Struthio camelus: one gene and its partner. The main gene of each other region encodes a partner of the protein of the gene in region 2 in a complex. Links are inferred from orthologs where the notes say so. Each region holds a gene or a part of one and is shown on either strand. Other genes may lie near its edges.

Evidence for each region. The genes of interacting proteins can lie anywhere in the genome.
Region 1: the proteins of SIN3B (region 2) and PHF12 are in contact, whole or in part, in a cryo-EM structure (PDB 8BPA), measured with the Homo sapiens proteins. The link is inferred for Struthio camelus from reciprocal best matches to the Homo sapiens genes SIN3B and PHF12. Residues at the interface, in NP_056075.1 of Homo sapiens: Glu307, Phe311, Leu318, Glu322, Val323, Tyr324, Glu325, Asn326, Leu328, Arg329, Cys330, Ile331, Leu333, Phe334, Asn335, Glu343, Leu347, Pro350, Phe351, Lys354, Phe365, Lys395, Arg396, Glu490, Glu493, Leu494, Val497, Tyr545, Arg546, Ile547; in NP_001028733.1 of Homo sapiens: Leu20, Met21, Gln23, Ile24, Gln25, Leu27, Leu28, Pro30, Pro31, Lys32, Thr33, Asn264, Leu266, Val267, Leu269, Val271, Val273, Phe275, Thr276, Asn278, Arg279, Ser280, Arg282, Cys292, Pro293, Leu294, Pro316, Asn317, His318, Ile319.

What each region holds. Positions count from the first base shown.
Region 1 is NC_090957.1:16,782,364-16,787,411, reverse strand, and holds the start of PHF12 (PHD finger protein 12), read left to right. Parts: upstream 1-1,928; 5' UTR 1,929-2,045; coding exon 2,046-2,111; intron 2,112-2,491; coding exon 2,492-2,673; intron 2,674-5,048.
Region 2 is NC_090967.1:5,368,220-5,373,267, forward strand, and holds the start of SIN3B (paired amphipathic helix protein Sin3b), read left to right. Parts: upstream 1-1,317; 5' UTR 1,318-1,353; coding exon 1,354-1,452; intron 1,453-1,802; coding exon 1,803-1,909; intron 1,910-2,490; coding exon 2,491-2,644; intron 2,645-3,677; coding exon 3,678-3,941; intron 3,942-4,363; coding exon 4,364-4,507; intron 4,508-4,750; coding exon 4,751-4,873; intron 4,874-5,048. Other genes in the region: NWD1 (NACHT domain- and WD repeat-containing protein 1), read left to right, coding at 314-603.

The DNA of each region.
Region 1 (5,048 bases), on a different chromosome or scaffold from region 2:
GGGCCGGCGGGTCCCATCCTGCCCCTCAGCACCCGCATGGGAATAACATGCCGCAGCGGAGGAGCCGGGGTGGGGGGGGCGCGGACGGGACCCCTGGGTGCACCGGGCCGGCCGGGGGCAGCGCAGCCGCCAGGAGCCCGGAGGTAAGGACACGGCTGCCCGGGGCCGGGGGCTCCTCGCCGCGGCGTGGCGGGGTGCCCCCCACCCCCCGTGCCCCCCGACGCAGCACTCGGGCCCCGGCGCCGGGCGAGGGGTGGGCAGGGGGAGCCGGGCACGGCCACCTCTGCACCCCCCTCTGCCCCCCGCCGCCACGTCGCGGCTGAGGCTTTGGACAGGGCCGGTGTACGACAGGGTCCCATCCTCAGCTGTGCATCCCCTTTTGGAGAGCAATTCCACCCCCCCCCGGTCCCCTCCTCCCCCCCCCCATCTTTTGGTCGTTTCATTAATAAAAAATGGTGTTTTAGAAGAAAACGTGGCAGTAGCGTGTTTCCCTGGGGCCGAGGGCTGGCCGGAGCGCTCCCCCCACCCCGCCAGCACCCAGGCTCAGCCGTGCACCTCGCGCCGACCCCCCCCCCACACCCGTGCCCCCAAGTACCCCCTCAGCCAGCATCCCCAGACTCCCCCCACCCTGCACCCCTCCTTGACCCCCACCCTGCAGCCCACTAACCCCCTGCACCCCATGCTGACCCCCACCCTGCACCCCTCCTTGACCCCCACCCTGCAGCCCACTAACCCCCTGCACCCCATGCTGACCCCCACCCTGCACCCCTCCTTGACCCCGATCCTGCACCCCACTAACCCCATGCTGACCCCGACCCTGCACCCCTACCCTGCACCTGACCCTCACCTTACTCCCTCCCCCTTGCCCCGCTGCACCCCCAAACCCGGCTCCCTGTCCCCTACACCGACCCCACCCCACCCTAAACCCCGCACCCTCCACTCTACCCCCTTCCCCCGCCCTAGCTCGGTGCGTGACAGCTTTAAGAGGCGGGGCTTCCGCGGAAATGACGTCACGGGCAGGGCCCCGCCCCTCCCGCCGGCACGCCGCGCGCCGCGCGCCCCCTGCCGGCCCGCTGCGGACCCCGCCCCGTTACGTCACCCATGGCCTCGCTCCCCCCCACGGCCTCGCTGCCCCCCACCGCCGCCGCCGCCGCCGCCGCCGCCGCGCCCGGAACGTGACGACAGCCACGCGCCTGCGCGCACCACCCTCCCTCCTCACGGCCGCGCCGCCCCGCCCCGCCTCCGCCGCGCGCCTGCGCCCCCTCCCGCGCGCCTGCGCCGCGCCGGCGCCCCGCGCGCCTGCGCAGGAGGGACGCGGGGCGCGAAAGGAGGAGGGGCGGGGAAAGGAAGGGCACGGGAGGAGGCGCGGCCCCCCCGCGCCTGCGCAGTGGCGGCGCCTGCGTCGTCGTCGTCGTCGTCGTCCTCCTCCTCCTCCTCCTCTTCCTCCTCCTCCTCCCCCTCCCCCGCCGCGCCAGGCCGAGAGCGGGAGGCGGCGGCGGCGGCAGCGGGGCGCGGGCCGCGCCTGCGCGAGGCGGGCGGGCGCGGGGAGGGGGGAGGAGGAGGAGGAGGAGAGCGGCGGGGCGCGGCGCGGCGTGCGCCTGCGCGGAGTGCGCGGCCCTGAGCGTCGGCGGCGGCGCCGCCTCTGTGTGTGTGCGTGTGTGTGTGTGTGTGCGGTGCGTGTGCGCGCGCGCGCGAGTGTGTGCGTGCGTGTGTGGCGTGTGCGCGAGGCGGCGGCGGGAGCGGGGCCGCGCCGGGCCGTCCTCCCCCCCCCCCACCCCTTCCCCCTCCTTCTCCCCCGGCCTTGCGCGGCATGGCAGCGGGCGCGGGGCCCCCCGCAGCCGCCCCCGGGCCCGGCAGGAGGAGGAGGACGGGCAAGCCGCAGCGGCCCGTGGGCTAGGCCCCGCGCCGCCGCCGCGCCCGCGCCGCCCCCCCCACCCCGGGGAGCCGCCGCCGCCGCTGAGGGGCCGCCCGCCCCCGTCTCGCTCCCCTCTGCCCGGTGCGGGGCGGGGTGGGGGGGCTCTCGGGGCCGCTCCCGGGCTGGATGAATGTGGGAGAAGATGGAGACCAAGACGATCGTCTACGACCTGGACACCTCCGGGGGGCTCATGGAGGTGAGGCCCGGCCGCGGGGCCGGCGGGCGGGAGGGGGGCGGGCAGGCCCGGCTAGGGACGACGTGGGGTTGCAAAATGGCGAGGGACCCCCCCCCCCAACCCCCTGCCGTCCCCCCAGAGGGGCCCGGAGCCCCGTGGCCATACAAGGAAGCGCGGAGGGAAGGAGGCGGCTCGCCCAATCGCCGGCAGAGGCCTTGCTGGACGCGGGGCCGGCGGCGGGCGGGCCCGGCCGGGGCCTTGTCCCCCACCGCCACACGCACCTTCCCCGGCGGGCCCAAGGCCCTCTCGTCCCGGCGGCCGGCTCGGAGAAGGGCACCCGGGGTCAGGGTCCGGCCCAGCCCCTCAGAGCCCTCTCTGTCTCTGTGTGTGTGCATGTGCAGCAAATCCAAGCCCTCCTGGCTCCCCCCAAGAGCGAAGATGGGGAAAAGAAGAGCAGGAGGCCCGAGAAGGAGCCCAGGCGAAGTGGCAGGGCCACTAACCATGATAGCTGCGATAGCTGCAAGGAAGGAGGGGATCTGCTGTGCTGCGATCACTGCCCCGCTGCTTTCCACCTCCAGTGCTGGTAAGGCTCGGCACTTATCTCCCTCCGGATCTGGGTGTCCCAGCCCAGGCAGCGCGTTCCCTCTAGCCAGGGCTGCACCACCACCGCCGGCAGCTCCTGCTTCCCGTTAGATCCATGCCTTGCACGGGGAGGGGGAAAACGGGGCCCGGCGCACCAGGCAGGAACAAAAAGGAGGTGCAAACCCCAATCGGCTCAGTCCCCGTGAGAAGTGATTAATCTGGAACAGCTGAGGTGAAAAGTCACTGCGCTGCCTTCTCTAGGGGCTGGGGACTGCGACCCCAGGCATTGCTGGGGGCTGTGATCCTCCTTTCTTTTTGTGCTGAGCAGTGGCTGAGAGGCCTAGAGGAGAAGTGAGGCTGCTAGCTGCGCGGCCTGGCTGCTTTGATACTGCCCGCACCAGGCCTTCCACCCCGCAAGCAGTTAACTTCCCCTCCTCACCCCTCTCAAAGGGTGCATTGCTTGGGGGGCCTCTGGAGGGTCGCGGCTAGGGGGAAGCTGCGGTCGCGTCTCTGCGCCAGGCCTGACGTTCCCAGCACTTCCGTGCTGCTGCAGCTGCTGGGAATAATGGAGGTTGCTTGTCTCTGTGTCTCCCTGCCTCACTGTTTACAATATGGCGACCTTCCTTTAAATTATATTTTTATTCTCAGCGCCATTTTGGCTGCAAATACGACTTCCAAACCCTCGCAGTGCTCCCAGAGGATCTGAAATGTGAAAATACCTTCCCTGTGTAAATCCAGGGCTCCAGACTTTAGAATCGGCCTGGTTTATTCCTTTCCCTCCTTTTTTCCTTCCTCCTGACGCTTCAGACCTGCTTGTCTCATCCACGGGAGTGACTCCTGTGAATTCAGAGTAGTTGGGTCTTCTTGCTTGGAGCTGTGTGGCTTTGTTGATAAAGGCAGATCTTTTTGCATGCAAATCTCGGGGCTGTGTTGGAGGTGCCAGTAGAGGCGGTTGCAAAGCAGTCGGTAGAGGCTGCAGTGGGGAGGATGGTAGAGGCTGCAGCGGGGAGGACTCTCGGTGCCTTGCCTCCGAGCTTCTCAAGCTAATAGCACAAAGCAACCTGGCAAAAGCACCTGAACTTTCCACCCTGAAGTTTTCTCTTTTCTGCATCGGGAGCCCAGATGCATCAAAGGCCGCCTTACCCGTATCTCTTGTTCAACAGTTGACACAGGCTGGCGGTTTGTGTTAAATTAGCACAGCCAGAGCGGATAATGGAGTGGAGGAGGGAGTGGGGCAAGTCAAACAGCTGGAGCTCGGGAGTGCAGAGTATTCTTCCTTAGGGGAGATTTTTTAACCGCATTCCTCTCTCTCTTCCATGCTTTGGAGCTTTGTTTGCTACCCTGTTACAGCTGTCTCCTCTCTTTATTTTTTTTATTTTCTTTTGCTTGGTGTTTATACTCTGCTTATATGCTAATTGCAGGTCTCTGAACACTTATTAAACTGATTACTGATACCAGGAAAACTGAATGTGCAGTCACAGTTCTGCAGGGAGTGTCCCGTTAGCAGTGTATAGCTAGACTTACCCAACAGTGCTCTACTGTGCAGCCATGACATCATCCCTCTTACCCTGAGGAAGTGCTACTGGTGGTAGTATATGTTCTCTAACGTTTGCTGAAAGATCACTAATATTTTTTGTCTGACTTTTTCGATAGGCCTTAATTAAGGTTTTGTTCTTGTACAGGACATAGTTGCTTAAAACTTGGTGTTTGCTTTCAGATGCTGTCAAAGTCAAATGGAAACACATTCTGAGCCTTCTCTAATTGAGGCTAGAGTGATTGCTAAAACTTCATGTTTAGATTTTGAGATGGAAGCGCTGTGACTAATGGTATAGCGTTTGCTAGTTGACTCTGTATCCTCGTTAATCCTAGCTGCAAATGAGTCCACTTTGCGCGTGCTTAAATCTGGCTAAATTTCATGACTTAATTTGACAAGTTTCTTGTGTTAGTAAGTAGGAAATGGTCGTGAAAATCAGACGTTTGTAAAGCTTTGGCTATGCTCTGGTCGAGTCAGTTGTATTAAAATATATGTATATATCTTTGGCTAATTAGTCACCTTTCAGAATAGGAAGAGGGGGCACAGTTCTGCTTATTCTTTCTCACTTTGTTACCTTTCTTGGAATATCTCTTGGATGAGCATTTGGATGGTCAGCAGTAACCCAAGCTCCAGTGTGTGAAGCAGCATAGCCTGGAATGCGCAGCAAGCTTGCTGCATGCTGTTGGATAGGCTGCTTCTCCAGAAGACCTCAAGCTTGGCCCATATTCTGCTTTCTTGCTCGAGGACCTCTGTCTGCCACTCAGCCAAGGCCTTCAGATGAACCAGGTTGTTTCAAACGGATGATGCTTGGGTTTTGTTTTCGTGTTTTCTTCCTTTCACCT
Region 2 (5,048 bases):
AGTAAGCATTCGAGCACACAGAAGGGGAAAGCATTCTGGGTTTAAATACCAGCATCAAATTTTATGGCAAAGCAAGCTAACATCTCCGTAAGTTTCTGCGAAGTAAAACATCAATAATGTTCTAAGGAGAATAAATAATATGGCTCATTATTCCCCCCTCCTCCTCCTCCCTCTTCATTTAACATCAGTGACCTAATTTCACTGAATCCAAACTGCCTGGTGACAAGGGACCATGTGAAGATAGTGACATGTTTTAAGTGGTCTCCTACCACACAGCAAGTCCTTTCCTGTATTCTGCCCTCGCTTTCTGTAGGTGCCTTACTAGCCGCACAGTGCATATACACAACTGCTAGCAGAATGGTACCAACTGCAGATGGGTTTGTTGCAACAACACAACTCGGCTATATCATTCACGAGCGGTTTCACTGTCCTCAGAACGCATCTCCTCAGTATAACCCCCTCCAGAACATCACGGCAACGTGTACAGTAAAATCCAGAAAGAAAGAAGGGGGAAACTTGAGCAAGCAACAATATAACCAAAGAAGCTCTTCTGGGAACCTGATTCGTACCAACAAGCTCTCTCAAATCTGCTCAGTGATATAAACAGCAAAGATGACAAGGATTAGGCATCATAAGCATCCAGGGTAGAGCCTACAGGTTTCTCTTTCCATCTGCTATATTCTTTTGCCTTAGTGTTTTAGAATTACAACATTAAATGCCGCTGAAAATTCCCTTACTGTGGTTATTCAGAGTCTTCTGATATCTTGGCATCGTCCAACAGCTGTCACGCACCACAGCGATAATCACGTAACACAGGTAAGTAAGCAAAAAAATCACGTTTCATCCAGCTACACCAAAGCCGAAACCAGGACTCGGCTTCTACCGCGAAGGGCGGCCGAACGACGGATCAGCAGAAGTTGCCAGCGGGCGCTCGGCACCGAGGCCTGCCCGCGCTCAACCTCCCTCCTCCCCTGCGAGCAGCACCGCTTCCCGGTACACCGGGAGCTCCGGACACCGCCGCCGCCGCCCCACACCTCCGGTGACCCGCCCCGACCGCACCGCTCACCGGGGTCGGGGCCGCCGAGCGGCCGCCTCAGCCGCGCGCCTCCCGCCATGACGGTTGAACGGCCGGAAGCGGTGCCGCGCGCCGACGCTCCCCGGGCCGCGCCGACGGCGGCCGCGAAGGTTCCGAGCCGCGCCGGGCTGCGCCTCGGCGTTCCGCGCCGCCCCGCTCCGTGCAGCGCGGGCGGGCGGGCGGGCCCGGCGGCGCCGTGCGCGCTGACGCAAGGCGCTCCGCACGCGCTGACGGGGGGGGGGGAGGGGGGCGCTCCTGCCCGCTGCCCGACTCCCAACATGGCGGCGGGGGGCGGCGGCGGCCGGGGGGGCAGCGCCCCGCGCTGGGGCGGCGGCGGCGGCGGCCGGGCCGCGGCGCAGGAGAAGCTGCCGGTTCACGTGAGTGCGGCGCCCCGCGACCGTCGCCGTTTACCTCCCCTCCCCCCTTCGCCCGCAGGGCCGCTCCCCGCCGCCCTCGACCCTCCGGGAAGGCCCTGCCCGCCCCGCCGTGACCTGCCCCGCCCCGTCGGCAGGGCCGAACCCGCCCCCGGGGCCTGCCCCCCGCCGGTGCCGCGGGGTGTCCCGGCGCCTCCCCCCCCGCCGGCGCCGTGGGGCGCCCTTGCCCCCCTTTTCCCGGGACCGTGGGGCGCCCCGGGGCCTGTGCCCCCCCCCTCCCCGGTGCCGCGGGGCGCCCTGGGTCCCGGCCCTCCCCCGTCCCGTCGGGTCTCACCCGCGTCTGCTCCCCGCAGGTGGAGGATGCGCTCTCCTACCTGGACCAGGTGAAGATACGCTTCGGCAGCGACCCCGCCACCTACAACGGCTTCCTAGAGATCATGAAGGAGTTCAAGAGCCAGAGGTAACGCCTGGGCCCCCCCGCGGGGCCCCTCGACCTGTGCGGGGGCCCCTCGGCCCTGCGGGGTCCCCCCAGCCTTCACGCCGGCCTTCCGCCTCCTCAGCCACACAGGCCACCGTGCTGGTCCTGTCCCCCTGTAGCGCGGTCAGCTAGACACTCGGGAGATGGAGGGTCTCCATCCATCCCAGCATCGTCTGCTCCATCCTTTCCTAGAGCCAAAACGCACAGGGAAAAGCAAATCTGTTTTTACTGCCCACTCTGAAACGCAGATCTGGACAAGGAGCTTGAGCGCAGAGCCCCTCTGTGACCTGCCAGCCCTAGAGGCGATGGCTGTCGTGTCTGTTTTGGGTAACCTGCACACTCATGTCTCTGCTCTGTGGAGAACGTTTTGTTTCCAGTGGGAGGCTGCAGAGCATGGCAGTCATTCCCTCTGTTTGGGCTGATCTCTAGGTCTGAGGATCCCAAACTTTCTTGTTAAAAATTGCATCTCTAAGGAACCAGACATTTGACATACCTCTGTAATTTTCTGGGTTTAACTTGTATATTTGGTTTGGATGCAAGTAACAAACTCCTCTCATTTCTAGCATTGACACCCCTGGAGTAATCAGGCGTGTTTCACAGCTGTTCCATGAGCATCCCGACCTCATTGTAGGATTCAATGCTTTCCTCCCTTTGGGCTACAGAATAGAAATTCCAAAGAATGGGAAGTTAAGTATACAGTCACCACTGACTAGTCAGGTAGGTTAAAGCACTTATATTACTCTAACTGAATTGTGGTATATGTATCCCTATATAGGTCTCTTGCATAGTTTAGGCTACAAAGCAACATGCAATACGTGTACATCTAAGGTTTTTATGTGGTTTTCAAAGTCTATGAGGATGGGTTTAGTATAAATCTAAATATTTATTCTCAAACTAGTTGTTACTTTAGCTTGCTAAACTAGGAATGAAATTCCCGAATGAATTGCCACTGCAAATCCAAATGCTTCAGTTAAATTTGAAAACTGAAACTGTCACTGGCTTGACATGTTGACATATGTTCTCAGTGCATAGCGTATAATGTCAAATTTGAAAAAAAAAAATCCCGGAAGAATCGTATTTCCAGTCTTTTAGTAAGAAAATGAGAAATATGTTTAGGCAATAGGCAAAAAAAAAAAAGTCAGGTGTTGTCATCCAGTTGTTCAAATCCTGCAAAGAAAGACATCTGCTGTAATATAAATAGATACATATTGGTCTTGGCTTCCCTTTTTCCTGTGTGGTTGTGGAATCTGAAATAGAGCTATCACCTCAATCCTACTTACAAACAAATGGTTTAACTCTAATTAGTAGCAGTAAATCTCTTTTAGATCTCAGTTCTCTTAGATCCCTCTGTTGCTCATAAATTTAGCACCTTTAAGGGGCCCTGTGTTGTAATATGTTTCTTAGAACTGACAGTTCTTCAGAAATAAAACGGTGGCAATAGAAGCTGCAGTGCAGATTATTTGGTACATTCGTGGCTTCTCTACCGTTTCAAGCGTAGTGGATAATGTAGCGACAGAAGCATTAATGAATCAGATAGTTCGTAAGCCAGATATGGCTTATGGGACGTTTTTACCTGATGATGTTAATGACATAAATAAGGAAATTTATTGGCTACATTAAATCTATTTTGTTTCTCCTTTATGCGTTAATCTTTTTTTAGCTAAACTGCTCTAAAATACTGATGCTAAATTGTTGAACTTGCACCTGTGTTTCTTTACAAGTCACTGTCTTGCATATCTTGTGCCACTAGGTGCCCTCAGAGCCTGTTCCCAGCACTCTCCCTGGCAGCGGGCTGTTGTTGCATTACTCTCAGGAGAATTCGCACAACCATAGTGATTGTTCGGAGGAGTTTAGGCAACAGCTTCCATACAAAGAAGATAAATCCCAAATTCCTTTGGAGTCTGATTCTGTAGAATTCAATAATGCCATCAGTTATGTGAATAAGATCAAAACACGTTTCCTTGACCATCCAGAAATTTACAGATCCTTTTTAGAAATTCTTCATACTTACCAGGTAAAAAGTCTTCCATATAAAAGCCTGTGGGTTTGCACTGTAGTTGTTTGAACAGTGTGGTCAAATGAAACATCTGTCTATTGAACAAGCTTGCACAGTTCCCAAGCGCTGGCCTTTGTCCAACAATTGCCTCGTAGATATTCACATGAAATGACAAATGTGTGAAAATTGCTGAACTTTCTGGGCTCTGAGGCATAAAATGATTGTATCTAGATCTGTCTTTACTAACTTTCAGTTGATTTAATGATGTTCTGTGTGATAGGATGCACTATAAGAACCTTGGGCTAGCTGATGTTATGTAAAGTTTGTTCATATTGCTTAGGGTCTTTGGTTTTGGCTGCTGGCTGCTATGGAGTTAAGAAATTTTCTTGCATAATGAGGTATGTTTTTATAGCTATTGAACATCTGTGTGTATCTTTCAGAAAGAACAGCTGAACACTAAAGGCCGACCCTTTCGAGGCATGTCAGAGGAAGAAGTGTTTACCGAAGTAGCAAACCTGTTCCGGGGGCAGGAGGATCTGCTGTCTGAGTTTGGACAGTTCCTCCCAGAGGCTAAAAGGTCTTTGGTATGTGTATGCTTCATGTAAGGCAGAATATTGAGTTCTCTCTGTTTGTAGGTAGAATACATAAAGAAGCTTTAGGAATGCAAAATATTATGGAAAAGCCTACCAGCCAGTAGGTGAACTTTCCTCTTTTTCATTGGTTGGAAGAGACTTAACTACATTCTCTCTGTTCTGTTTGGATAAACAGGATTCTTTTTTTGCACAGGTTAAGGAGAGCGCATTGAAATCATTATTTATGTACTTCAGTTCACAGGAAATGGACCATGTGAAGTGAACAGTGTCCAGAAAACTGAGCATGAAAAGAATCTGGAACATAGCAAAAAGCGATCCAGACCACTGCTGTTGCGTCCTGTTTCTGGCCCAGCAAAGGTATCCTTTTGCAAGCAAAAACCTAGAATACGCCTGTCTTACTTGTTGTGTTTAGATGATTGCTTAAAGTTGCAATGAATAGCGTAGGTAAGTGTTAGGTGCAAGAAACAAAATTTCAAAAGTTAATGTAAAGAGGATTATCTAATGCAGTGAAAGAGAATTTTTAAAGTATGCT